Oryzias latipes: one gene and its partners. The protein of the gene in region 4 interacts with the protein of the main gene of each other region in a pairwise test. Links are inferred from orthologs where the notes say so. Each region holds a gene or a part of one and is shown on either strand. Other genes may lie near its edges.

Region 1 (4,227 bases), on a different chromosome or scaffold from region 4:
AGGGCTCCAGCGGGGTTCCGGAGCTGAAGTCCGACCTGCAGAGCGGCGCGGCGAGGCAGAGGAGGAAGAGCGCGGAGCGGAGCTCCATGGTGGGAAACGTCCGGGCCGAGCGGCTGGAACCGAGAGGGGAGCTGGTGGGGAGGTGTCAGCGCTCAGGCCGGGGCTTGCTGCAGGAGGTGGGGTTGGACACTCAGTGCACACCCCCAAATCATCAAGTTACATTTTGAAACGTCCATTTACCCACATTTACATAACTAAACGTTTGTGTTTACATGACGCCCTGTCCCATCATCATGTTTAATGAAAAGTGCTTTTTTCCCCTTTTAATATTTCTTTTTTACTATTTAATTTCTTTAAAAAAAACTCCGATCACTAGAAATTTTTATCCATACTCAAAAATAACTTGTATACAAAAATGTTATTTGCATGTTTTTGGTAAAAATAAATTTTCTTATGGGCGTGAAACTTTACTTTTCTAAATGCAAATAAATGTTACCACTTGTTATACTAGCAACAAATGTGACATATGTTAGTAAATGTAAGAATTTATTTTGACTTTTTAGTAATGGCAATAGTGTTACATGTCGTCCTTAAGCCTCTTTTTTTAATTAAAGTTTAAAGCTAAGGTAAAATATGAGGATAAGAGACTTTGTTGATCTTAAAGTGGGAAAATCATGTAAAACTAAATGAGTTAAGGTGATTCTAATGGAAAGGCTTGTCAGTCTAAGTAAGATAATATGACGTGTTATTTTTCTTTAAGGTATGACTTATGTTATCATTTTAGGTACCATTTTTCAGTGTTTTTACATGTAGGCTTACCTGTTTTTGTTAAAAAAAAAAATTAAAATAGCTTTTTTATTGATTCAAAATGATTCATTTATTTATTTAAACTTTTTTTAACCGCAAAAACTTCCTGGTGCCCCATTACCCAAACCTGTACTGGAGCAATAACATGCTGTCAATCAACCCCAAGCGTAGATCATTTACTGAATTATAGTACACATTTTAGGATTGTAATCCTAAAATTTCAGATATTTTACACAGGTTTAAAGCTTTAAGAAATGTGACAAACGAACAATCTTCTGTTGGTTAGGATCCAGTTATTTAAATACTCATGGGGGGGGGGGGGGTAAAAACAACTAAGCTATGACACGTGCGATGCTGTAACTCCAACATGTAACAAATATATCAGCTGTAACCTGGGTTTGGGGATTTAGGGGTCCAAAGTTATGCCTGAAAAGGGAAAAAAACGTTTTATTGGGGCTGATATAATTTTTTTTAACTTTTCATTGATTATTGATTATAATTTATAACTGGGGTAAAAACAAACAATATAAAAAAAGCCTAAATTGAAAGAAAAGTTTATTTGCTTTGATTTCGTACAGGCACATATGTGTCCTACTAAGCCAAGAAAAAAGGGTGGTGGCCACAGTATTTTCAGCACGTTACTAAACCGGTGAGTGGAGAACGAAGAGCAGCCCTATAAATCTCGTTTTCGGTAGTGAAGAGGAGTTCAATAGCGATTAAACATAAAATGGAGAGGACGGTTAGTCTACCGAACCAGCCTGAGAACACAACTAAAGGTACCAATTGATTGTCGTTTTTTTCTTGTGAATTTTGTTAACCATTATACGATTAAAATAGCTAAACAGTAATTACATTTTTTTATTTTAAGCATCGTTATTCTGTTATTACTTTATCTTTATGTTGCTGTTTTCACATATACTTTCTACCACACAAGCTGAGTCTTTTAAATTTTCGTGTTTGTGGATCCGGATTTTGTTTCATTTATGATCTTTGTTTGAATGTTGATGGACAAAATGTTCCCATATCCGTTGAGACGCCCCTCCTACAACCACTAATGTCATTTATATGTGGGTAGGTTTTGTGAAGTGTCACAAACACACAATAATTAAAATGTAACCAACAATCTGTTAGAATTTCCTTCAACGCAGATCCGAGCTCTTATTTTGAAAAACTGGCGCTTGACAGAAGCAGAGATCTTAACACTAATGTTCCAACAGACAAAGATAAAACAAACAAGAAAAAGTAGAAAACAATTAAAGTCAGAAAATAATTACTCGATAATGCTAACCTAACCATTTCTATTGAGAATTAATTTAAATTCACTTCCTTTTTTGCTTTCATATATTCATTAGTTATTCCACTGTAAGTACAGGACACGCATAGTACCAATTTATATTACATTATAAATTGGTACTATGCGTGTCCTGTACTTACAGTGGAATAACTAAAGAAAGAGACTTGTGGCTGCAACATTAGTTTTCTATCATGTAACCTTCCTTGTGTTGTAGTCACTCTGGTTGAGAGAAACCCGGCACCCAGTGGGCTGGAACTGGTCAGCTCCTACCAGACCAACAGAGTGGGAGACCCCATGGATCTGGTGGCTCTGGCAGGACAAGTACAGAAGGTGTGTGTCTTTTCACCCCTCATGTCACTGACGCATATAATCCAAGTAACACCTTAAATACGGGGTTTGATTTTCTTTTTTTTAAATCTTCCTAGGGAGACGAGTTTGTTAAAGCCAACGCTTGCAACAAGCTGACAGTGATTGCAGACCAGATCAGATATCTGCAGGAGCAGGCCAGGAAGGTACAACTGCACCAGATCAATCTGGGAGCGCACACATCTCAACCCTCTTGGATCTCACTCGTTTCTGCCGTCAGGTTTTGGAAGAAGCAAAAAGAGACGCAGACCTCCACCACGCCGCCTGCAACATTGTAAAGAAGCCGGGGAACATGTATTTCCTCTACCAGCGTCCATCTGGACAGAAGTACTTCTCCATCATCTCACCTAAGGTTGGAGCCTCACTTGAAACACAAACGTTATGTAACATTTCTGTGAATGAACATGAACGCCTGACTTGACTGTGCACGTGCTAAGGGGGTTTGATGTTCAAAGTTCATGCAACTTTAAAGGAAGCTGATAGATTCCCAGCACGGTTTTGTCCGGACCAGCTGGTTTCAGTAGAACTGAGAGTTTTGTGCAAAGCAAACAGATTATTAAAGTTTTTGGAGTTGTTTTTTTTTTCTCTCCATAGAACATTGCTGAAACAGCAACAAATGATAACCTTGTTTAAGCATGGAATAAAAATGTCAATTCCCTTTTTGAACCCTCAGTAGTCTCTAAACTCACTGGTGAGTTTGCCAAACACATTGGATGTTGACAATGATAAACCCATTATTATAGTTTCATTCCAAATTTAATTTGAAAGTTTCAAAAAGTTTTTAGCTTTGGAATTTTTGGTTTAAAACAAACATAAGACGCATATTTGTGATTCCACTTGGAATAAATCCTTGGAACTTTGAGTGGAGCTTCACCTGTTTTTTTTTTTTTTTAAGACAAATTTTACATTTTCTTTTATCTCGTCTTTGCTTTCTATTTAAATTTATACTTTTTTAATGTTTGATCTGCATTTACATTTTTCCATTCGGAATTAAATTTTATACAGTTTGAGGTTCAGTGTTGAATTATTGTGTAATATTCTAATAATAAATCTTTTGAAAATAAGCTGGTGTTGTATTAAAAAGATGTATATCAAGCGTTACCACAAAAACTGTTGTAAAGACAATTTAGAGCAAATTGTGAAAGGAGAAAAAAAAATTAAAAATAATGCCCCAGATTATTAAAAGGGTTCAACTGTTGCTGCTTAAAGAATTAACGATTATTCTCTAATATAAAACATTGGAGAAAAAACTGTTTCTTTTTCTTTTGTGAGTCTGGAAAGTAAAAAACAGTCTGTTTTTCTTCTCTTTGAAGGAGTGGGGACCAAGCTGCCCTCATCCGTTTTTAGGAGCGTTCAAACTTCAGCACGACATGTCCTGGACTCCTGTGGACGAGGTGGACAGGAGGGACGCAGAGATCGCCATCATGGACAAACTTCTGAGCCAAAAAATAGCCTTACCGTCTTACAACGGCCCCAACTTTAAAGGCCTCACTGAATAAAAGTCTGCTGACAAGATAAAGAACTTTTAAGAATGGACAGAACTAAGCCAAATAAAAGACTAAGAACATTTTTTTAAATAAAAATCACTAACATGGTGGTTGGTTAAAGTTTTCTTTGACAAACCAGACCCTACAAGGTGTAAAGTTGACAGCTTTGATATATTTTTAAGTCTTAATAGGTTTGTTTTGTTTTCAGAGCTTCTTCACCCACTGGGACAGTGTTCTGTTCATCTGATAACAAGCTGCCATTTCAATATTTGA
Region 2 (4,111 bases), on a different chromosome or scaffold from region 4:
CTGGCTGCTCAGGCCTGGATTTTGAATTTGCGTGGGGAGGGTCTGCGGCTTCTGACAATCAAGATGGCCTGGATGGTTCTGAGGTGGCCGGCCAAGAGCTGCTACACCAATGTGAGAGGGTATGCTGGAAGAGGTGGACTGAACAGAGGTGGGCTGTATGTGTTGGAGTCCTTGGGACTGCTGGGGACCGCCAATCATCTGACTAGATCCATTTGCTGGCCCAGAGGGCACTGAGCCAGTTTGGTTGGAAAGAGGGGGAGAAGCAGCTGCCTGGGGGACCCCTTGCTGGGGCTGGGTGTACTCAGGAGCCCTCACTGACACTGGGGGTGCAGATGAAGTAGCAGCTGATTGTTGTGGAAGGGTGGGAAAGCCTATCTTCTGCTGCTGAACACCCAGCAGGCCCTGTGAAGAGCCTGGGGTTTGGTTGGCAACTGCCTGGGCATAGGTGAGCTGCTGCTGGGCAGTAGGTGCAGGCAAGCCAACGGTGGTCTGGAGCCCTGGCATGGGTGCAGGCTGATGAATATTTGTGGAAGCTGAGGGGGCTACAGTAGTCTTCACTTGTGAATGGGCGATCTCATGAGGTTGGGTTTGAGGTACTCCCATGTTTAAGCCACTGGGCAGCATCCCTCGATAGCCCTGAGGAGGAGAGGCAAAATCCTGGGCATGCTGAAGTACCGGGGGCCCTCCAGCCTCTCCACTTCCAGTGTTCTCATTGTAATGGCTCAATGTATTTGCAGTACCACCACTCGTGCTTTCCCTCTCCAAGGCTCCAACAAAGCTCTCAGACACAAAATGACGTGTGCTGAGAGAGCCAGCATCTGGGGCTGAGGTAAAGGTCGCAGAGGGTGGCACCTCCTTGTCATAGAACTCAGTGCACGTCCATCTCCCCTTCTTGAAGGGCTCAGAGCTAGAGTCCAGCTTCACCACCCTGAAGCGAGAGCCTGTAATAGCCACTGTGGGCGCTGAAACTGGAGTTGGAGTAGGAGCAGGCATGGCAGGAGCGGATGAAACAGGAGCTGAGGCCACAGCTGTAGCAGAGGAGTTCACAGGCTGCAGTGCAGCTGATCCAACTCTTCCCTGTGTCCCGCTGGGAACCCCCATGCCGCCAGAGGCACTCACAGCAGCAGCAGCAGCAGTGGTGGTAGTAGCCATGGTGATGTTTGGGTTGATGTTTTGGTGCTGCTGGATCACACTGAGATTAGCGCTGGACATATGGTTACCTCCAGCTGGAATAGCAGCGCCTCCAGCTTCACTGCTGTTAAGCACATTCAGAGGGAAGCCACCGCCGCTACTGCTAGCACTTGTGTTGATTCCCCCTCTCACAGGCACACTGGCAGAGCTCAAAGCATTCACATTATTCACACTGCTGGTCTGGGGATTAACTATGCTAAGTGTGGTGCCTGCTGAAGAGCTGTGCATTCCAGGGACAGATCCTGAGGCCACAATCCCCACAGACTGAGAAGCAATACTTGGAGGGGCAGCATGGGAAACATTCTCTTGAGGACCCTCCACGCTAGAAGGCATCTTCTGGGTAAAACTAGGTAAAGCTCTGGAAGCGTGTGTAGATGGAGTGATGCTAGATGACACGGGGTAGCTCTGAGCGTGGTTGGGGTGATGAGAGTGTACAGTCCCGTTCACCATAGTCCCGGTGTGCTGTGCCTGGCTCAGAGCGTGGGGGTGTGAAGGCTGGTTTGGGGAGACAGCTCCAGGGGTCTCTGCCTCATGAAAGTTGTTCAGCGTCTCCTCTGAAGAGCTCCTCTCCGCGCCAACAGCATCATTCGCTCGAGAAAGGGACGCATCCAAGATTTCAGAAGAGGACAGATCCTCTGTGTGGGACTCATCCAAGTCGTCGTAACTTTCAGTGTCCTCTGCAATACTATTATTCGTACTAACCGACACCTGCGCTGGAGTCACACTTGTGATCTGAAATCCGCTCTTCTTCTTCATCATCTGTGCTCCAGTCGACTGAGTGGTCTGGGGCTGGGGATGCAGGCTAAGGCTGTGAGGAGGAGGATGGGGACCCGGGGAGGAAGAACCAGCAGGAGGTTGAATCAACAGGGAGCCATGATAATCATCGGCCGAAACGTGGCTGTTGCTGACCAGAGCGCTCGCCGGTGTTGACAGCGACGAACTGGTCCCGCTGTTTGGGTTGCTGCCCTTTCTATGTGTGGCATTCGGATGCGCCATCTTTCTACCACTGCCAGAGTCTCCTGCAGGGTCCGGATGATGATGCATTTCGAGGGGATCCGCCGGGCGGTAGTTGCTCTCTGACAGAATGTAGACTGTGGCTCGTTAACGGCGCCGTCTTGCAAAAACTACAATAAACATACAACCCAACTGAAAAATATAAGGCAAGTCAGAAAGTAGGGCGGTTGGCCTCAAAACTTGGGCAAACCCGTGCCAATATCCACAGCCTCGCGCACAGGATTCAGAGTTTTCTTGTGACAGCTAGCAAAGCTAGTGGCCGCTTGTTCAACAGCTAGCCGCTAACGTCAGCTGATGCCAGTTGTACTTCGCCGGTTAACGTCCGCTGGAGCCTTTGTTAGCAGTGAACGAACAGCCCGTGTGTTTCACTCTTTCGAGTTGCAGAGTACACAAGTTTGACTAGCGATACCCCCCGTTAGGAGGTTCAATCAAATACTAGCTTGACAGAGGAGTATCGTCAGCTAGTTGTTAGCTGCCAGTTTCCATCACCGGCTAGCTATGCTGAGGGTGTAGTGAGTCGTTCAAACTACTTATTTACCCAGATTAAGCAAAGTAAACAAAGGAGCCTTTTCATTAGAGAAACGGTGATGCAAATGCAAAAAAACATCCACCTAATACCGGAGTGCAGAGGCTAAATCCATTCCATCTAATCCTCGTTTCTGGTATTGGTTTTGCTGTATCACCGGTCCTCCCCAGTGGCGGCGACGTTCAGTATGTGGCCTCCTTCGCGGCTGCTGTGGATCTGTGCTGTGACGGCACTGAAAGGGAGGGGTGTGCCGTAATATGGCGACTGCGCATGGCCTCTCCTGCCAGACATAAAGCAGTCTGGGTGAGGCGGCGGCTCACGAACTTTATATCAACATCGACGGAATTTGCCGTAAAGAGCCGAGTGAAGGCGCTCCACGCGACACCACACTGGATTATACCATCTAGATTTTTACGTACACATTGAAATAAAAACTAAAAAAACTAAATGAAGAGTAACATGATGTATTTACCTTGCAAACGTCACACAAATCATTCATTAAAATAGTTTATTTTGATTTTCTTAATTATAATCGTTTTCACTCATGAAATAGTTTTGTTTTAGTCTGAAATATGATCTATAATTTTTTTTTCTTTCATATTGACAAAAAAATCGTATCAATTAGAAATTTTTTGTGTTTATTTTCAATTGTTGTTTCCGTTTATGTAACACATCTGTAGATTTTTAAACCCCTCTACATTCTGGAATGGGTTGTTCCAAATCATAAACAGCAGTTTGGTAAACATAATTTTTGCTTAACTTTCTTTAATTTAATTAATCAGTTTACAAGAAATTGTTTTATATAGCATCAGGCTAAATAAATGAACCGAATATTCACAATAATTAATTCAAAATTTACTTTATCAACGAAGTGTAAATATGTGCAACAGTTACAGATAACTTGATAGTTGCACTAGCAAATAAATAACTAAATCAATGTTTAGAAAGAACTTCAAATATTTTAAAGGAAAAGACATAAAAATCTGATACGTGATAAACGTTTTATTTTGATTGGGCAAAACAGGAGGACATCAGTGTTAGTGAAACAAAGGCAGACAGAGAGCTGCTGGATCCCTCTGCAGACACAGGTGTTGGGTACACTGCAGGATTATTCTACACACAGGTACTGTTTGGGGCCTCTGTCTCTCCCCTGTGTCAGACAGAGTGAGTAAAAGAGGCAGAGAGAAGAAAACACATTTGGTGATTGTTAATGTTGCCAAGGTCAACGAACTCTCAGTCAAACATCTCTTTTTTTTAGTGTTCTGGTCTTTTCTGTACATTAGTTATTCTCCTTTTTTATTTATCTTTTCAGGTGTCTCCATAACCTTTTTGGTATCAGACGATCAGACATTGACAGATCATTGGACACAAAGTTATTTT
Region 3 (3,517 bases), on a different chromosome or scaffold from region 4:
TGATGCACAAACTTACTATAAAATAACAATAGTTGTCTTTTCACAACTAGAAATGTCTGTGTGAGTCCAGATCATTTACTTCCGGTTTTGATGTTTTAAAGAGCGCATGGAGACGGCAAACAAGCAGCTCGCCACGAAAGACTGCGAGGGCTCAGAGGACAACCGCAAGACCATCTCACAGCTGCTCACACAGAGTGAGTGACACACACACACACACACACATACTCCAGCAAGCATGCCTACCTCAACACTAAACACCCTTTTCTTCTCCAATCAGTGGCCACATATTCCACAGTCAGTGTTTGAGTTGGCAGCGGAGCCATTTGGCTTTAGCTAATGGTCATTTAGCATATTTTTAAGGCTCAAAACTAACACAGGGATAATCTTTAAAGCTGCTGCAGATTAGTCAGTCCACATGAATGCAATTTTTGTTCAAATGTTTTCAATTTTTAACCCATGAAAACGTTTGGCTGATCAGCAGCTGGATTTACAGTTTTAGAAGAAATTCTTTGGAGATCACAAGTTCAATGAAATATTTGCAGACAAAGCCAGCAAACTCAACACAATGGCACTGAATTAATGGAGTGAAGACAAAAACAGTTTTTACCTAAAATCTTAAGAACTTTGCGGCTTGCAGATGCAGCTTGCAGAAAGGGGGGTCGAGGGCGGGGCTACTCAACTCAGCACCAATGCCCACGTAGAGGAGATTTTGGATAGACATGAAATATGGCTTTTAAAGACATTTAGATTGTGGGATTTTGGTTATAAACGTCATCATTAGAATTAAAAAAACATGTTTTTTTTTCCCAAGTTGTCATAAGGGGTCTCTAATAACCAGCTCAGTGGCTTTGTGGTTAGAGTGTCCGCTCTGTAACTGGAAGGTCATGGGTTCAAACCTAGGCCGAGTCACACCAAACACTTATTAAATGGGACCCAATTCCTCCCTGCTTGACACTCAGCATTAAGGGGTTGGATTCGGGGGTTGAACCACCGAATGCGGCTGTGTCTGGAGCTCACCGCTCCCCCAGGGGATGGGTCAAATGTGGAGAACAAATTTCCCCAATATTTTTTTTTAAGTCAGACTGTATATGAAAAGTGGAGTAAGTGTGATGTCATCGATAAACATGGTTTACTTCTGGCTCCAGCAAGATGAAGTCAATTCATTTTTTAGGAACACGGTGCCACCACGTTGGAATCAGAACCGTCTGTAAGCATTAATTGGTCTGAGTCGGTCAACGTTTCTATGGCAACCATTCTTGCCAATCAGGAGCTTGTTGGAAGTCCACATCGCTTCCACTTGAAAGAGGGGAAAATGAAATCTGTCAAAAAAAAAACTTTTGAATGTTTGATGTGAAACCTTATCCTTTGATTCAGGCATGTGATTGGCCAGTTTATAACCTACATTACAGAAAAAAATATCATGAAGAAATTAAGCAAGGGCTTAGTTTAAGATATCCGAGCAGGAATGGTTTTATAACAAGTAGAACGACTGAGTACTGGCTGTTTCTATAGAAGTCTATGGGATTTTGGTTTCTTGGAACCAGCAGGTACTTCCAGTTTGGAACTCGAGCGGGGTGGGGTCACTCGGTCCAGTTCTGATATACAGTTAATGGTTTAAGACAATGAAAAATGAAATTGTAAATAAGTTGAATAAATCAACTGTGTAGACAAGAAGTGACTGAGCTTCACTCTGTTTTATATCATTTACGGCAATGAAACCTCTTATTTGGACCGTTTCTGCATAAAAAACAACCAGAGTATAAGTAGCAGGAGCCAAAAAAGGCCAAAATAGTGCCAAAAAATATAGAAGTTGCACTTTTCTCCTAAAACTACAACTCTTCTGAACAAATCCACCAAACCTTGTGTATTATTGCATTTACACGTCAAATTCCCATCCCGCATCCCTTTTGATGCACGTTAAATTCGATGCTCAATGTTGTCGTTCACCTTTCAGCAAATCCCTTCAGCGAATCAGCTTTCACTGATTTACACAGGTAGTTCGGCCGAGCTTATTAGACAGGATGCCCTACCTGACTCAAACCTGTATGTTATCTGGGCTGGGGACCGGCACAGGGAGACCCAGACTTGGTCCCCTGTTGCTACATAGTTAGGCAGTAGCGTGAAGGCCCCAAGAACCCACACTCATTGCGTCCCTTGGGAGGCGAATCTTGGTTTCTTGCGTGCCAATCCTACACCCAGCCAACTGAGTCCAAAACAAAAAAAGTAAAAACAAGAATCGTCATGTCTCGATGTAAATAGGAAAACTGTAATAAAGTTCAGGAGAACCATCAAATTACCTTCCATGTTTGTTGTGGATGGCTCTTCTTCTGCTTTGCTGTGAGGAGCAAATACCGATACACACACCTACAGTGCACTCTAGTGGTTGTTAGTGGGAATTAACCGTGAAAGGGCAACCGATTGTGACAATACACTATATGAGCCTATTTATGTTTTTTTTTTTACTATCACAAAATAGTTGCTCCTAAACATATGCAAAAAAACAACAACAACAAACACAACTTATACTCAAAAAAATACGGTAAATAGTTTATAGTCTGGTCTTTATTGCTCTATCCTATTTATTCTACTTTGTTTCTATCAGGACGAACGGGTGAGCACATGAGCCTCTCCACAGGCCTTGAGACCCAGACATGTGTGCAGCCGCTGCACGTAGCATACGTGGAATAGTGTGTTACAAAAGCACTGCAGTTCCATTCAGGGGGTCTCAAAAATGCCACATAAATCACAGGGGACTTTATTAGTGTTTTCATTATAGTTTTTAAAACTAATCACCAGTGTGTTTGATGTGTTTGTGAAATAAAGCATAATAAGGATTTCTTTTTGAATGTGAATTCAGATAAAGAAATGCAGCGTGAGAAAGAGAAGCTGGAAATGGAGTTAAACGCCCTTCGCTCCACTGCAGACGACCAAAGGAGACACATTGAGATCAGAGACCAGGCTCTCAACAATGCCCAGGCCAAAGTGGTCAAGCTGGAGGAGGAGGCAAGGCTTTGAATCAGTGAAAAATGACCAAAAACGTTCACTAGTACAGTAAATAAGAATGTTTGTTTGTTTATGTGCAGCTGAAGAAAAAGCAGGTGTATGTGGAAAAGGTGGAGAGGATGCAGCAGGCCCTGGCTCAGCTCCAGGCAGCGTGCGAGAAGAGAGAACAGCTGGAGCACCGACTCCGAACGAGACTGGAACGAGAGCTGGAGTCTCTACGCATGCAGCAGGTAATGCAGCCGCATCTCAAAGGAGACCTGCATCAGTGCTGATGCTCTGATGTGCTTCCAGTTTTCTATTAGCACACAAAAAGCAGTTTCCTATTTTAAGTCATGTATAGTTTTGTTTTATCTCTGTCAATATTAATCTAGCTGAAGCTTCCTTAAGAGAAGCTCTATTTGTCTTCAGATTGAATATATGTCTGCTAAAACAAAACACATCTAAGTCTATTTCTTTGGTGCAACTGTTTAAAAAATAGACTTAAACTGTACTAAAAGGAAGGAATCAAGATAAA
Region 4 (4,067 bases):
TATAATACAAAAACTCTGACAGCCCTAATTGGATCTAGTCTCCCCTGTGTCATTTCACACTATATTACACACAATCCAGTAGTTACCAATACCTTTAAAATTATGTTTCAATTCAGACAGACGTATGGACTCACTCAAGTGCTTACCACTAGTCCTATACACAAAAATCACCTTTTTCTCCCTGGTCAGACAGACTTCGTATTCATGATTTGGGAAGTGATTAAGGTACAGTATAATCAACTTTAAGGACATGTACCTAAGCGGTATATTTGCAAGCTTCAATGATCTTGCTTCCAAATTTTGTCTGCCTCACTCTCACTTTTTTTAGTACCTTCCAGTGTGTCGCTTCCTTCAGCAGCATGACCCTAACTTCCCTAACATACTGTGTTAGATGAGGTGTTTGAGTTGCCACTCAATTCAAAAAGATTCATTTCCAAAATCAAAGACTGCAAAATTCCTGCTTCCATCTTTGTTGTTTGATTGTCGACTGGTTAATTCAAAACTTCCAAACTTATGTAATACGTTCTTTGTTTGTTGGAGAACTGTTTCCAACATTCTACAAAACTCATTCTATGTCCCAGCATTACACAAAAAAGTTTTTTAAAAACCCAATTTTTCCAAAATACAAAGAAACCCATTTTAAACAATGAATGCAGTATACCCATGCAAGGAACTGCTACATTTACGTTTTGGTTTTCAAGAAAATAACTGTTAATAAATATAAAATCACTTGATCATCTGTTTTTTGAATGTACATATGTTACCAGTTTTTGGGAGTATTGTGTTTGTTGGTGCTCCTCAAAGTTTCCTTTTCCTATTTCTATTCCGTTACAGTTGTGAGTACTTTCTGGTGATAATTTATTTGATTTGGCATTTGATACTTTATTAAATTCTGGGAAATTCTTCATCAATGAGAGCAGATTTTTTTAAAATCAAATCATTATTCAATACATTTCATAAAGAGATCTGTTTACATTTTAAATCCTTGGAATTCAAGAAAAACAGAAATGCAATAAAACTGTCAATTTTCATTGAAGATCACATGTTGTATGACCATACCTAGTGTGAGCTACAATTCTAATGTTATTTATTTATTTTTTCTTTGTATTGTATTCTTTTTTCTTTTTATATCTTTCTATTGTAGTTATGTGAATGTGTACGTGTCATCCTTTGAAGTTCAATAAGAATAAAATAAAATAAAAAGTTGGTGAAATCAACGCTACAGGAATGGGCTTTTAGTTTGAAAGGACGGATGTGACGTACTGTATTTTCGGTGAGGTTCTTTCCGGTTAGCTTACAGACATGAAGGGTCAGTTAAAGAAAGGTGTGGAAGTAATACCAAGCCGGGAAAACTGCGTTTATACCAGCTGTTATTGGTAAAAACCAAGTTTTAACAAATCAGAAAAGCAGCCCACTGTCCTGCAGTCTTTAGTTTTGTGTCAATAAATCATTTATTGTCAAGAAAAACATCAAAATGCTAAGCGGATCCGCTCGGCTAATCGATATTCACAGTTTACATTGTTAAATGTTATACCCATTTTTAAAACTGTTATAGTGAATGAGTTATTTCAATGCCATCTGTCTAATTAATGATTGAATGAATTTTCAGGGAAATATAGTTCATTTTAATCAAGTGAATGAGTGGCTAATGCTGCTTTCCTTTACTTTCTCAGTGAGGAAAATGTTTGGAAGCTCTGTGAGTTTATTCAAGCACAGAAAATGGTTCCACTGGACCAGTTTGCTGTAATTTTCATCTCTAACGACACCAGAACGGTAAGAAGATCTGGAAACATTTTAAACGGCTTAACAAGACAATCGAATAAACAAAATGTTTGCTTTAAAAATAATATTTCAAAAAGTACCTCATACTGAGAATGATGGGCACCGAGCCCTCAAGGGTTCAGGTGGTCTCAAGAAATATTTGAAAGTAAATAACAGGCCTTCTCTGTAAAAAGAAAAATCCTTTTTGCAAAACATCTGGTAGTTTCAAAATACAGCTACAGTGATCCCTCGCTATAACACGGTTTACTTTTCACGGTTTCGCTACTTCACGGATTTGCATCGTGCATTGTGTTCTGCATTCTGATTGGCTAAAAAGTCACTTCACTTCTCTACCTGTGCGTCAATAACATTGCAGTTTAATATGTACACGTACGTAAATCAGCGTGCCAAATTTACAACAGATACGTGCAAATCATCTTGCAATTTCGAGTTTCTCTATAACCCATGAAAAAAAGGAGCGACAACAACAACTGCCTATCACTATGTTCTTCTCCCGAACAAACACAGCTGCACCGCGGGCTTCAAAGGGAGACTGCAGAGCGGAGTCAGGATGCAGCGGCTCAAGAGCAGTGAATTACACCTGAGTCACTATTTGTCTGACCGTACTTTGTATTTTTTTAAAAATCATTTTAAATATCTTCCCGTTTAATCCAAATACTCGGGTCGCGGTGGGCGGGGCTAATCTCCGCGATTTGAAGCCTTCTGTTCACATTGATGATTAAAATTCTTATTTGACAGTACAATACAGAAGATATTTGTTGAAAAACCTTTTCTAAAGTACTTTTATTTGTGAAACAATTCCTTAGCCTGTAAAACGGTTTGTTCTTTCTTTTCAATGTATAATAGAGAATTTAATTGTATAATAATTGTTAAAAAAAAAGGTTTCTACTTCACGGATTTTGCCTATCACGGGTTCTTTTTGGAACGTAACCCCCGCGAAAAACAAGGGTTTACTGTACTCCATTAATTGTGTCCAAATTGGAGGGCTGTGTTCTTCCTGGGCTGCATCTGAAGGCTGCTTACGTAACATGTTGTCCAAATTCAACAAGTCCTTTAAATATGGCCACCGAATACAGCCTTCTTTTTACCCGATTTCAAGGATTGCTCTGGTGTACCCTTCTATGCTGTCCATATCCCAAGATGCATAGCAGTAGAACCCGGATATTTTCTGACAACAATGGCTCCATGCCTGGTTCACTCCTCCTCCCTGTTCGGGACTCACGGTTGCTAGGCAACAGGACATTCACTGATGTAATGGCTGGAATTATCTAAAGGCTAGACTCGTCCAAATTCACAGCCATTAACATCTGACCTACCCGCTCAACAAAGGACCCGAGTAACATCGCCAGGGAAGACTGCGGCCATTGAAGGACGCAGACTTCGAATTTGGGAGCACCCAATATATAACGCTCAAATGTTGTGAAAGCGTCTCACTAAAACGGTCAATCAAACCAAACAAAGAAGTTCATCAAACAAATAGGCAATCCCTAAAACTGGCCACTACACACAGTACATTACAAAAACCAAAGAAATCCCGGACAAGCCCCCAATTTATGTTACACCCCATTTTAGGAAAAAGAAATACTATTTAATAAAAAAACAACCAAATTACTGTATATTTGCAGTATAAAGCACACTTAAAACCCTTAATTTTTTTATTTAAAAAGCAACAGTTTGTCTTAAAATCATGATCACCCTATCTATTAATTAGTTATGCTGCAAACAAGGTTGGGTGTTATTGTGAATACCCTCACGCGGCTAATGTGTGGCGATGTTGGACTGTTTTTTTGGTTACCAAAAAGGTTGTGTGATAGCGTAGTCACGGTAACGTTTGTTTTAGCGCTATCAGTCTGTTTTGTCCACGTGCTGCAAGCAAAGTAACGTGACTGACTGACGGACATTTCTCTGACTCTTTAATCTCACTTAATCTGCCTTGTAGTTCGGTGTGCTCTATATGTGACATATGCTCAAAATAGACCATTCATTGATGTTGTGCTTGATAATCCGGTGAGCCCTGTAGTGTGGAAAATACTGTACAAAGAACAAAGCCTGTATGTATGTTCTGCCCTGGAGATCCTTGCCCAGTCTGGTGCTCTGGACAATTAGGCACAAATGTGCAATCAAAGCTGGCAGAGGAGAAGGAAGACAGAAAACCTCCCACTCCAGCAGAAAATATAAAAGAAAATAGAGAGAGAAAACCCAAATGTACAAAAAAGCCATCACACTGTCATTTATCCATAAATTTTCTAAATCTGCTTAATCTGTTTTGAGGTCGAAGTGGTTGC
Region 5 (4,103 bases), on a different chromosome or scaffold from region 4:
GACGGCGCTGATGTTAAACCCTGATGCTAACATGCTACGATCATGCTATGCTAACGAGCTGTTCCGAGTGTCGCCAGACTGGGACCACAAACTGGTTTAAAGTGACACAATATTTACACAGAGCGGACTTTAAGACGGGGAGGATGAACTGTATTTTCTAAACACAATAACAGACGTGAATGAAACTTTATTAGCAACATCTAACATTACAGAGCCGCAGAATTAGGAAAAAGATACATTTTCTTTCAATCTGCTGCCCTTTAGTGAATCTGTCCATGTTTTATTTTTAAAGATGTGTTCATCCTATTTATAGATTTCTTTAAGGTCATTTTATTTTCTGACAGATTAGAAATCACTTTGAACAGTTGTTTCCATGTTGTGACGTCCTCTCTGTCTGCACTCCTCCTTGTTTTTAATTGACACCGATAGTTTTTCTGTGTAGTGTAACAATTTGTCCACACACAGCAAAATTGGTTTGAAGGTTGTAGCTGACAAAAGTGGGAGGACGACACATTTGTTTGAACACCTGAAACAAACTCTGTTCAGAGAGAAGCGTTTCTCTTCATCAGACGCTCCAGCTGTCTGCAGCTCCCAAAAATGGATCTGCAGACATTTCTACAGCTTTTGTGTTTAGCTGAACTTTGTGCTGGAGCCTACTTTTTAAAGGTGATGTTAAAATTAAGTAGTTTTTGTTGAATATATCCCATCATTTGTAATTTTTGTTAAAGAAATTAAAAGGACGGAGAAAAAAAAAAGTGTTATGGAGTGAAAAAAAGATTTTATTTTTTTGGCCACATGGCCCAGGTCTAATCTGTGTGTAGAAAAGTCATTTAAATAAACAACCAGAAAACACAGAAGTAGAAGTTAAATAAGAAGAAATAGATCTTTTTTTGGGGTGGAGTTATGAAGAAACAAGAAACTATTTTTTGTTCTTTTTATTTATATTTTACATTTGATGTTCAGAGTTTGTAATTAAATTTGTAATTTGTTTGGTTCAAACTGTTTTGTTTTGTTGCATTTCTGGCTGCGCTTTAATGTGAGACACGCATCAGGTTGCAGTGTTTTACATTTGTTTCTTCAGTAACCAGGTAAGTAAACTTAAACTGAAGTGTCACTGGGTAATTAAAAGGAGTCAGAGTAGGAGCAGCAGGTTTGAAGAGCCAGATTCAAACACTTCTACAGGAGAAGCTATCTTTAGTGAATTCTTTGCCCAAACCCACAAAGGGTGCAGCATCTGCAGATGATGATCAGCTGAGGTCAGCGTTGAAGGGTGAGAAACCATGAGTTCGTGTGGACATTGATTCTGTTTTGCAGTTTCCCCCCCAAAAAAAATCGAGCAGAAAGCAAAGCAGGACTTTGCACTGAAATGTTGCATTTAGCAAAGATCTGAGAGGTCTGTAGCAACACATGCAAAGAATGTGCTAACTGTCGTAGTGCAACGCGCCAGTTTCCTGATTTCACAAACACAAATGGTCCGAGTGGAGGAACTTGAGAAAATAAACTCGCAGCAAAAAGAAAAGCGATGAAAGCGGATCACAACAGCACATCCACTCACCTGGAAGGAGGTGGGAACACACACAATGTTGAGTTTTTCCTGCATCACTCTCTCCGCTGCAACAGAGACAAAACGGAGGCCACATAAACACTGGACCCATGAACGCCAAGTGGTCAGTTCTGCTCTTTGACTGCAGTCACAGCTGCTGGAATGGAACCATCACCAGCGGCTGCAAGCAGGCTCCTCCCACTGGACACAGACATGAACAGTTCAACGGCGCTCACCCAGTCGGTCCACGGCGTACACAATGGTTGATCCACTGCCCACTCCAACCACCTGGTTGTTCTACAGAAAACAAGGAGGCGTGGTGTCTGAATCCATTCAGCTCACAAGATCACAATCCAGTTTGATTTTTAATTTAAATCCCATTCATCAGGTTTCAGTATGATATTCATGTTTCAATAAATGGTAAAGTCACATGAACATTTTAAAAACAGAAAAGCTAGTGATTTACAACTGTAATAATGTCTTTCAGACACACATCAAGGCAACATTTAGGAGCAATGTTGGCTGGAAAAGACGCTTCAAGAAGCTGCAGAGAGTGAAATTTTTCATAAAAACACATTTTATCTATATATAAAAATCTATAATTAACATGAAAGTCCAAGCAAAACAAAAATAACATTGATACTGTTTTTATTGAAATTAAAATAGGTGTTTAGGTTCACCTTTCACCTGAGGGTCGCTTTTCTGGCCCACGGGGGCTCCCGTTCCCGGTCGGAGGAGCTGACCTCTGACCCCCCACACTTATGGCTAACAACACCGTTAATTCCAGCCTAGACTAACTTCTACACCGCTCATGCCCCTGTTTTCCTTTTCACCCTAAATGTTTCCTAGCTGCAGCACCATAGTGCGGTTCAAAGCGGGACAAGCCCGCGCAAAGCCGCGCTAAGTCGCTTTAAAGTATTTAGATAATGTTGTACTTGCTAACTTTGCCGCGCGCCGGAACTACTAGCTGAACGGCCGTGACGTCGTCTCAAACTCTCCTGCTGCAGGACTCGAACGGACGCGTTCGCTCAGAGGACAGCGACTAGGGTACCTGGACGTGGTTGTCCACGGCGGCGTAGGCGGCCAGCTTCTTCGCCTCCTCTGCCATGCCAGCATCAGACTCGCGGGAGCAGCGCACGTGCCGGTGACTGGAGAGCGCGAGGAGCTTCCGCGAGGGTGGAGCGCAGAGGAGTGGTACGAACCCTGGTAGCCTCATGACACCCCCCTCCCGCAAGCGCAAGAGAGCCTCCCCAAGACGACTACCCCTCGCTGCAGTGGGCAGTGTGCCTCGACGTGGGCGGGGCTAAACGCGTTGGGCTCCGCCCACAGAACGTGATTCCATTTCTTCTTCTTCGCTGCAGTCAGATTGTCCATGTGCAGCGACACAACACGGAACTGCAAGATGGAGGTACGCATCAACAAACAAACGGGCATTCATGACAATAAGACACATTTTCGCCTCACGGATGAGGCTGTTATTTGTATTTTTGCTTTTTTCTGTCGTAATATCCACGTAGTTCAGGTTTCACACGGAACTACAAGTTAGAATTGCGGCTCTACTCCTCGGGACTTTCGTAATCATCATGATGATGTTCAACTTTTTTGTGTCTTCCAATCAATGTAGGTGAAACTTTCCGGTTTTTTCCACCTGTATTTTTCCTCTCTTTACAGAGACACGTTACAGTCTTATTGGGCAATGAAAAACCAACGCCGAAAACCCTAAACGGTTCTTCCCACTGTCCGTTCTGCCGCTACAAGGGCGCAGAGCATGCTGTGAGACACCACATGGAAAACCATTCGTCCGTCAAACACAAAGGTACAGTCTGGGTTCTGAATGGAAACTGTCAGTCACAAGTCACAAGTCATGAAGTATGTTCTTCCCATCATTCCTCTTTTAGGATTCACAGTCATCAAGTGTGGTTTAGGTTGCCGGACTGCGTCACACTTTCACTGTTGCCATTGTCCGGCAACATTGGTCAACAGGTCACAGTTTTTCAAACATTTGGGAGCGCACCACGTAGGAAATCCTCCATGGCTGCTAGAGGTCAAACCAGAGCCCCCACCGCAGCTCCCACTGGCCCCACCACAACTCCCAGAGCCCTCATCGCAGCCCCCACTGGCCCCACCACAGCTCCCAGAGCCTTCATCGCAGCCCCCACTGGCCCCACCACAACTCCCAGAGCCCTCATCGCAGCCCCCACTGGCCCCACCACAACTCCCAGAGCCCTCATCGCAGCCCCCACTGGCCCCATCACAGCTCCCGCTGGCCCCACCGCAGATCCCACTGTCCCTATCACAGCTCCCAGACCCCTCCTCGCAGTCCCCGCTGGCCCCATCGCAGTCCCCGCTGGCCCCATCGCAGCTCCCAGAGCCCCCATCGCAGTCCCCACTGTCCCCACCTCAGCCCCCATTGCAGCAACCAGCACAGCTTCTATGGCAGCAAACCCCGGCCCCACCACATCCCTCAGAGCGCCCCCAGCAGCAAAAAAACCCAAAGGAAATGTGTCGGACGCAGACAATTCTTTGTCATCTCTGCGGTTTGAATTTAAAAAAAAAAAAC
Region 6 (4,172 bases), on a different chromosome or scaffold from region 4:
CAGATGAGCCCTTTTATGTTAGATGTTTGCCTCCTACGTCGACAAGGGTCATTTGGAGTATAATTTTTAAACTGTTGCAGTGAAATGGAAATTATGTTTTTGGTTGTTTATATACCGCAAATTATATCGTTATCGCAATATTAATCACCAATATCGCACATCGCGAGTTTTCCTCATATCGTGCAGCCCTATGCGCTAGTATTGGTAGTGAAAGTCCAGTGCACATAATTGGTGTGAACGTAGCTTAACACTAAAGCTACATTCACACCGGCCGCAGTAGTACACTTTCCAGTTCTATGTAAAGTTAAATGCATGTAAATGCGCATTTCTGGCTTCTGCGTTAAAAACTATAGCGTTGACGCGTAGCTACGCAAGTTTGTATGACCGTTTTCAGGCTCTACGTACGAAATGGGTGTTGCAAGTCAAACCGGGTCGAACTTTAACTAATTGAATTTGGTATTGAAGTGTTGATGGCGTCTCCTTTCATTCATTGAACCATTTGAAAATTGATCACGAAAGAAAAATTCATCATTGTGTCGGTCCGCAATTCGACAACACCAAATCTTTCGTAAATCGGAATATAGGCCCGTACACACCGGGACGAATATTCGCCAGGCGTTGTTCGCCAGCGTTTTTCGCAACGTTTTTTGTGTGGTTCGGGGATATTTTAGAATTTCCGTCATTGTTTCTTCGCGGCAGTGTAAACGCTACTTGGCGTCTATCTTCTTCGCTGGTATATGTGCTCAGAAAGGCAGTTTTGTGTTTGAGTGCCCCCAAGTTGTGTTTTACTGTAACTTCAGAAGCTCCAGACACGTGTGCAAAAGCGCCGTTCTCATTGGTCGTATAGTTTTCGACGCGGCGCGTCGAACCAAAAAAACGAACCAGAGGCGTTTTTTAAAAAGTGACGCTTTGACGCTTGGTGTTTTTTCGCGTCGGTGTGCACACTCACGTTGGTGCCCTTTGTTTAGTCACGAGGCGTTAAACATCGGCGAAAATCGTGGGCGAAATTCGTCCCGGTGTGTACGAGCCTTTAAGCTGTGAAAGAAAAAGCCTGGAGACCAGAGTTTCACCCCTTCAACGTTTCACACCCCGCCTCTTCCAGCTATAGGTGGGGGACATGCGCTAGTGAACAGTAGAAAAAGAAGAAGAAGCCCTTCCCTGTTTGTTCAGTGTGAACACCATGGGCTAAATGCGCGTTCTAGAATACGTGTTTAGCATGTTCTTGAATGCACGCCAAGTGCATGTAGCTTCAGAGACGCAGCTGTTATGTTTAATACAAAAAAAAAACACACAACCAGAGACAGTTTTCAACAGCCAATCAGAGAGAGCGCTGCAAATAGCTGAGTCGGCATGGAGTTTCTCACTAAACCAGCTGGTAGTGGCGGTCTGAGTGACAGAACTTTCCCGCTCAGAATCAGAGCTGATTCCTCAAAGTCTCCTTCAGTGGGATGCTGATCCTCCCTACAGCTGGGCAGGGAGGATGACTGACGGATCAGGACTGCTCTGCTGCCCCGCCCACCCGCACATTCCAGAGAGGAGATAAAACTTTGTTTTGTCTCCATCAGAACACACCCGGCTCATCGCGCTGGTCCTGCTCTGAGCCTCCAGCCCGGGTGGAGATGCGATAAAAATGGCAGGTCTGAGAGGGGCTGGGCCTGGCGCCCGTCCCCTGCGGGCTCACAACAACCACAGGAGCGCGGGGTGGTGCCACCAACCTCCCCGGCATCATCAACATCATCATCATCTTCATCATCATGCAGGGGAGGGGGATCTTCACGTGCAGCTTCAGAGCTGTGGGGGGGGAGGGGGGGGGGGGGGGGTCACATGTGAGGAGCAACCCGCTCTGGAATGACAGGAATGAGGAAGAGGAGCTGGCCCAGCCGCTCTGTCCCACTGTGATGGGAAGCCCTGGAAGCTGTTCTCTCAGAATTCTTAAAGAGTGCCTCTTTGTGTAAACGGGTTCTGAATGTAACCAGATTCTGGACCAGGTTCAGCTTCTGTTTACATTGACAGAGGTCAGTGTTTTGTATTTGGATCTGGTTCTGAAGGGTGACCAGGTTCTGCATGCACAGCGAAAGTGTTTCAATTTGGACTGGACCAGGTTCTGTAAAGTTGGACCATGTTGGTGGATCTAGTTCTGTATATTTGGAAACAGCTGTAAAAATGTAAACAAAGGTTCTGGATGTGGACCAGGTCGTAGACCTGAAGGGGTTCCGGTCTTACCTCCGTGACCTGCACGTAGCTGGACGGGAACCAGCCCCGGGCTCCGTCCTTCTCTCCCTCCCACCAGCCTCCGGGCAGAGCCTGCACCACCTTCACCACCTCCCCGGCCTGGAAGCTCAGTCCCTGCTGGTGCTGCTCCCCGCTGAACGGGTATAAAGTTCTGCAGAACGATCCGGACATCTCCAGCCCGAACTTCCACGGATGCTCCCGGACTCAGAGGGAACCGTTGGTTCGATTCCGTTCAAGTTGAGACAGAGGGAACGAGTGCAGCCGGACAGATGTCGGGATCTGCTCCTCCTCCGTGTTGTCAGGACTCCGCGCCTCCGCTTCTGCCTGAAGTCGCGTGAAGTCTCCTCCAGGAGGCGCGTGAGGCTGGACCGAGTGAGGGCCGACCGGCGGAAGCGGCCGCTCTCCCTTCAAAGTAAAAGCTGAAAAGCCCCACCATGTCCGCCGTTTCTTCATGTTCATTCTAACAATTGATTAAAACAAAGAAAGTTTCTCTTCAACCCCATTGAACTTCAACATAGGATAATTCATTATGAAAATATTTTTTAATTCAAAGGTGTGGCTGAAATGTTGTTTTTATTTGTTATGCAAAATAAAATCTTTTTTTTGGGGAAGAGACAGAGGGAGCTAAAATTGTGTGCCTTGTCTAGGCTACCCCACCTTGGTGGGACACAGCCTTGGTAAATAAAAAAATAAAAAAATAAAATCTATGAACTTGAAATGACACTTCAATGTAGTTTCTCTGTGACATCATTGTTTTTAAATCATTATCCGTCCATTTTACAAAAGATTTTCAGAAATAACCCAGACAATTAAAAGTTAAAGAGACAACAATAAAACATAATTCGTTAATTATCATTTTACATTAAAAGGTTGAATGGCATTCTCTGTAGCAGTTTTTTCTTTTTTACAAAGTTCATAAATTGATACAACTGTGTTTTTTATTTTATTTTATCAGTTTTCTGGGTTTTGCCTCGACATATTTGCAGTCACAAACTGGCACATCTAGTAGGCTTTGATTTTTGGCTTCATCTCCTTTAAATATAAGTAAACATTCTTTTAAATTAAAAATTTGGATGATTTTTTAAAGGATTTTTTAGGAAATATCTGTTTCTCCAAAAAGAGTAGTTTGTTTAGATTTTATTCTGAAGGGTTTGACCGGAAACATTTTTTTAGAAACCAATTAACTTGATGTAAACCCGTTGAATTTGTGGATAAAAGATAATCAAATTTTAAGTTTGTATTTTAGTAACACAATCACCTTTATACAAGTAAAATAAACAATTTATGAATGTTATCACTTTTGTAACTTTATTTTTTATGCAAAAGCATTGCATTGTGATTTACAGTTGAGTCTATAAGAAAAGTCTTGAACATTGACTAATGTAAATCCTTTCTAACCCTCCATCTAACAGATCAAACTGTTAAGTCTGTCCATCACACATGTGAAAAAGACATTTCTGATGGTTTTCTTTGCAAAAACGACTATACTGAACAAATATGTGGACCACAACTGCCATCGAAAAGTAGTTTGCAACTCTGCTGATGAGCTGCATCCAACAGTGTCATCATAACTACCAACTGTCCAAAGACAAACAAACAAAAAAACCTACATCATGTGAAAAACTCATCAACCCATTAATCTCAACTCAACAATAGAAAAATAAAGCACTGTGCCATTTTCATTGGTTCAGGCTTCAGCTTCACAGCTGGCCTCAAAATAAATTTTATATCTTTTTCAGTTGCCAGAAAGACTTATGTAGCTGCATAACTGTTTAGCTTTTTTCCATTTTTTCCCCATTATAAACAACATAAAGTCTGTTGTCTGAAAGCCGCTGAGCCAAAACAAAGTGTTTCTGGGAATTTTCTAAAACTGTTGAGATGAAGGATATTAACGTAAAATCCATTTCAGGATGTGTTTTCCTCACTACAGATGTCTGTGT
Region 7 (3,951 bases), on a different chromosome or scaffold from region 4:
CAAAGCGTTCCCCGTGTTGTTTTCTAGGAAGGTTTCTGCATAGCGGCAGGAGTTAATTAGAAATTAACCCCCCAGAGTCGTGGGCAGGACTGCTGGCATGGAGTTAGCCCCCCCTTACCACCATCCCTTTACACACTCGCTTACAGCCCCTCACAATCACAACTTCCACTGCACATTAGTGGTGCAACAAAAATTGTGAACAATATTGGAGCTATCCAACCGTACAGTTTTGAGCCAGATGGCAGCTCAGACGAGGAAAATGAAGCCCAAATGTGTCAGAATGAAGCATCAGAATGGAGCAGTGAGGGAGCTTGGTTGGTGTAGTAGCTTCTACGTCACACTTACACGTTTTTTTGCAACAGCTTTTTGCGTCTAATTCACATCAGTTTGCATAAAGAAATACTCAGAAATGCAATTCTAAGCTAAATTTTCATTTTCATCGGAGTGGGTATTTTAATTGTAGCTAGTAGTTGTCATGTTAAGTCTTTGTGTGTACATTGTGTGCCACAAACGAACACTCACTATTTAAGATTTTCTTCAAACTTGCAAGCAGCTACCACCTATAATGAAATGCATCGAGATGTGTTTAATTACTGTCATATATGCCTAGCTACAATTGCTAATGTTATCTTTACCGACTCGGTACCGTTCCTCTGAACAGAGTTATGTAATCAGTAGGGTGGGGGACAACACATACAAAACACACAGCTCTTCAATTGTTCGATTAAAAACACACACACAGGAGCTCGTTGGCAGTTATACTTCACGTAACACCACGCAAAATTAGCAGAAAAACAATTCTAGAGACAAATAAGACGGTCTATTGTTTGTTTCAACGACGGTCGGTGCGACGACATGATGATGAATCCCGCTGAACTTATTAGTCTAGCAGACGCTAAGGCGTCAACTAATACAGCGTAACGTTAAACACGCGCCTTTAAAACACTATTAGGTTACATTTTCCACAAAGAGAATATTCCTAGAGTGCATTAGACCTCACCTTTCAGCCGCGATAGCTTGCCTGACGCTGGATGATCTAGCAACTTCCACAATGCAACGTGCGACGTGACAGTGGCTAGACGTGAGTCGTAAATTGACCAATCACAGCTCTCGGGCTGGGTTTCATAACGTAAGGTCACGTTTTTGCCACACTTAACATACCGATTGTTCCCAGATTGTTCCTAAAAGAATCAAGGTAGTAATCTCTGTCACTTTGGCACTAAAAATGTTTTTTGATTTCTTGTCGACTTCAAAGTTAAATAGAGGAATGAATAAAATATTTTTATATGGTTAAATGTAAGGGAAAAAATAACATCATAGACTGGGGAGTTCTTTGGTGCAACCAGCAGGGGGCAGTGTGCGGCATTGGTGTTGTAGGAAGTTCTTTTCTTCTTCTTCTTCTTCTTCAGCCACATCACATCCGTGAGGACCAACAGCAACAAAACAACTTGGCTTTTTATCCATAACTTGGTCTGTAAGTATCTACATCGTCTGTAGGTTTGACATTTGACACATCACGAAGGTAAAATCTTATGTCTTTTCATTTCAATGTTTATAAATTACTGTGATCTTCGTACAATCAGTTTGATTTAACATGAGACACGAAGAAGTAGGTAGTATTCATTTTATAAAAGTTATTCCACTTATAATTCGACACATATGGACAAATTTGATCCTTAAAAGATTTTTACTTGCTCAAAATGTCGTTTTCTGGCTCAGTTCTCGGCCTTTGTCAGTGATGTGGCAGTGACCAAGCCCTGTTGACAAAAATTTTCCACTTACGAGATCCGCTCCTATGTTTCTGGCCAATCAGGAACAAGTTTGAATTAAAATCTAACCTCTATGCTCTTAAGAATAATGTGGAAACTAGTGATCATGTAGTTTTTCTTTTGTAGTTACTGCTGTTTCTCCATTTTAAACACATTTTATAAAATATATCAATTGTTATTTACCTTTAAAAAATAAAGTAAACAGGTTTTCCTTTCCTTTTTCCTTTTTTATTTATTTATTTAAGTTTGCTTTTGATGCACCTCGAGGAGTGTTACAAAAATCGTAAAGATTGTATGGTTGTATGGTGTATGGTGTTTTATTTCCCATTTAAACAGGGGAAAATAAAGAAGAATCCAGAAAAATTCTGACATGTTTTATAAAGGATACATATCGTTTGTACATTGAAAAATACGAGGAAAAATGCAAACTTCCAATAAGACAATCTTTTTTTTTCTTTTTTTTTTTTTTAAATTAACTTTAGAAGCAAAATGGAGAAACTAAACAAAACAAAATCTTTAAACCACTTGACAAACCCAATGATGTAACAACATCCCACATGCAAACTTGGCATGCACTTATCTGCATGTTAACAGTAAACAATAGGCAAAAAAGGAAAAGAAAAGGAGTCAGATCTTTCCTGAGCTTCTATCTTCCGTTCATTTGTTTACTCAGTTACCCATTGTAGTATTTGGGTATATGTCTTCAGTCATATGTATATATTTTCTATTTTATGATTTTCTATAATTATTATTAATACTTAGGCTCTTCATTAAACAACCTCAAACTCAAAAACGTTAATATTCTTTTATCCCACTTCATCTCTCGTAAAAAACATCTATCTCCATATAAAGGAAGGCCATTTTTCCACACAGTTTTTGGACTATTTATCTTGTGCTGATCCGAAGAAGGGGGAAAAAAAAGTATGTGAAGGAAAAATCTTAAGACTATTTCTTTTATTTTATTTATTCTATTTTCTTTTATTTTCAGGAGAAGGTTTGCAGATGCCATCTGGAGTACCAAAGGGAGAGAACTGTCAAGTGGACATGGACAGCAAGGCTGGAGATCTGTTTACGGCTGAAGATGCTCACCCAACTGGCACGGGTGGAGCTGGAATCCTTTCAAAGTACGAGTCAGTTTTGTTTTTTTTAAAAAGGAGTTTAGTGACCCAAACAACTTTCTTCGGTGATGGACGTGGACATTAAACAGCGTTTGTAGAAAAACCACAGCAATGGTGCTAAGGCTCTGTGAGTTACTGTCTTTACACATCCACTTTTGGGGGTGGAGTTAGTCCTAAATCCTCATCCTCCTGTTCTGTAGACTGTGCCTCATTACTTAAAATTTTTTTTTTTTTAAAGTTTTGTTTTGTCAAAGTTTCTAAGAATTTCCTTAATCAAACTACAAAATACTTTTTTGTTTTGCTCATATTGTCAAAAGTTGTAATGCATTGACTTTTTCCTTGAGAGTTTGTACGCTTTATTACCATTTTACCTTTATTTTGTAGGCTCTGGCTCCCTAAAGGCTTCTCTGCCAGCATGGCCAAGGAGTGGATTGATAGGCGCCGATTGTCCATTCGACCGTGGGCCAGTTTTGTGGACCAACGCAAGTTTTCAAAACCACGAAACTTCGGAGATGCATGCCAGAGAGTGGTGAAAAATGTGGAAACTTACAACAGCAACTACACCTTCATCTTCCTGGGTCTCATCCTGTACTGCATGTAGGTGTAAACCTGAGTTTGCTTTGGCCTTACCTCAAAACATTATTGAAGTTTTATGAAATAACAGATGCAACACTGACTGCACACACTAAGGCCACCGGGATTGAGAAAAGAAAAAGAAAAGATTGAATCAGTAACAGCATTATGAGCCTTTTTTTTTTTCTTTTCTTGTCAGTATAAGCTCCCCTATGCTACTGATTGCATTGGCTGTGTTTCTTGGTGCCTTCTACATAATCCACCTGAAGTCTCAAGAGTCCAGACTGGTTGTTCTTGGTAAGTAAAACAGAAAAACTGCTGTCCTTAACTTGCCTGAAAGTGAAAAAACTTTTTTTCAGAGTTTTTTTCAGCCATGCATGAAATGGGAGAATCTTATAGAAAGCCACAGAGAATTATGTTTTCATGTGTTTGCCAACTTTGTTTTTTTCCAGGCAAACAGCTTAATGTCCCTCATCAGATGGGTCTCGCTG

Evidence for each region.
Region 1: the proteins of wdyhv1 (region 4) and c5h1orf50 interact in binary tests that used the Homo sapiens proteins (3 or more experiments, as listed by UniProt). The two-hybrid records come from large-scale screens. The link is inferred for Oryzias latipes from reciprocal best matches to the Homo sapiens genes NTAQ1 and C1orf50.
Region 2: the proteins of wdyhv1 (region 4) and TSC22 domain family protein 1 interact in binary tests that used the Homo sapiens proteins (3 or more experiments, as listed by UniProt). The two-hybrid records come from large-scale screens. The link is inferred for Oryzias latipes from reciprocal best matches to the Homo sapiens genes NTAQ1 and TSC22D1.
Region 3: the proteins of wdyhv1 (region 4) and angiomotin interact in binary tests that used the Homo sapiens proteins (3 or more experiments, as listed by UniProt). The two-hybrid records come from large-scale screens. The link is inferred for Oryzias latipes from reciprocal best matches to the Homo sapiens genes NTAQ1 and AMOT.
Region 5: the proteins of wdyhv1 (region 4) and rpia interact in binary tests that used the Homo sapiens proteins (3 or more experiments, as listed by UniProt). The two-hybrid records come from large-scale screens. The link is inferred for Oryzias latipes from reciprocal best matches to the Homo sapiens genes NTAQ1 and RPIA.
Region 6: the proteins of wdyhv1 (region 4) and growth arrest-specific protein 7 interact in binary tests that used the Homo sapiens proteins (3 or more experiments, as listed by UniProt). The two-hybrid records come from large-scale screens. The link is inferred for Oryzias latipes from reciprocal best matches to the Homo sapiens genes NTAQ1 and GAS7.
Region 7: the proteins of wdyhv1 (region 4) and rabac1 interact in binary tests that used the Homo sapiens proteins (3 or more experiments, as listed by UniProt). The two-hybrid records come from large-scale screens. The link is inferred for Oryzias latipes from reciprocal best matches to the Homo sapiens genes NTAQ1 and RABAC1.

Annotation. Positions count from the first base shown.
Region 1 is NC_019863.2:24,468,054-24,472,280, forward strand, and holds the start of c5h1orf50 (uncharacterized protein C1orf50 homolog), read left to right. Parts: upstream 1-1,412; 5' UTR 1,413-1,534; coding exon 1,535-1,583; intron 1,584-2,315; coding exon 2,316-2,431; intron 2,432-2,526; coding exon 2,527-2,613; intron 2,614-2,687; coding exon 2,688-2,819; intron 2,820-3,780; coding exon 3,781-3,966; 3' UTR 3,967-4,227. Other genes in the region: p3h1 (prolyl 3-hydroxylase 1), read right to left, coding at 1-88.
Region 2 is NC_019879.2:17,035,970-17,040,080, forward strand, and holds the start of TSC22 domain family protein 1, read right to left. Parts: upstream 2,811-4,111; 5' UTR 2,236-2,810; coding exon 1-2,235. UniProt on the Homo sapiens protein: Transcriptional repressor. Acts on the C-type natriuretic peptide (CNP) promoter. Acts to promote CASP3-mediated apoptosis.
Region 3 is NC_019872.2:12,814,587-12,818,103, reverse strand, and holds part of angiomotin, read left to right. Parts: intron 1-101; coding exon 102-194; intron 195-2,857; coding exon 2,858-3,003; intron 3,004-3,083; coding exon 3,084-3,233; intron 3,234-3,517.
Region 4 is NC_019869.2:4,812,102-4,816,168, reverse strand, and holds the start of wdyhv1 (protein N-terminal glutamine amidohydrolase), read left to right. Parts: upstream 1-1,255; 5' UTR 1,256-1,302; coding exon 1,303-1,376; intron 1,377-1,673; coding exon 1,674-1,773; intron 1,774-4,067. UniProt on the Homo sapiens protein: Mediates the side-chain deamidation of N-terminal glutamine residues to glutamate, an important step in N-end rule pathway of protein degradation.
Region 5 is NC_019880.2:22,089,911-22,094,013, forward strand, and holds the start of rpia (ribose-5-phosphate isomerase), read right to left. Parts: upstream 2,809-4,103; 5' UTR 2,760-2,808; coding exon 2,595-2,759; intron 1,841-2,594; coding exon 1,780-1,840; intron 1,612-1,779; coding exon 1,556-1,611; intron 1-1,555. Other genes in the region: uncharacterized protein LOC101171122, read left to right, coding at 2,916-2,951, 3,215-3,359, 3,442-4,103. UniProt on the Homo sapiens protein: Catalyzes the reversible conversion of ribose-5-phosphate to ribulose 5-phosphate and participates in the first step of the non-oxidative branch of the pentose phosphate pathway.
Region 6 is NC_019877.2:20,922,978-20,927,149, reverse strand, and holds the start of growth arrest-specific protein 7, read right to left. Parts: upstream 2,818-4,172; 5' UTR 2,404-2,817; coding exon 2,224-2,403; intron 1-2,223. UniProt on the Homo sapiens protein: May play a role in promoting maturation and morphological differentiation of cerebellar neurons.
Region 7 is NC_019874.2:20,935,561-20,939,511, reverse strand, and holds the start of rabac1 (prenylated Rab acceptor protein 1), read left to right. Parts: upstream 1-1,139; 5' UTR 1,140-1,195; intron 1,196-1,409; 5' UTR 1,410-1,474; exon of another isoform or gene 1,475-1,522; intron 1,523-2,757; 5' UTR 2,758-2,771; coding exon 2,772-2,893; intron 2,894-3,271; coding exon 3,272-3,484; intron 3,485-3,659; coding exon 3,660-3,757; intron 3,758-3,912; coding exon 3,913-3,951. UniProt on the Homo sapiens protein: General Rab protein regulator required for vesicle formation from the Golgi complex. May control vesicle docking and fusion by mediating the action of Rab GTPases to the SNARE complexes.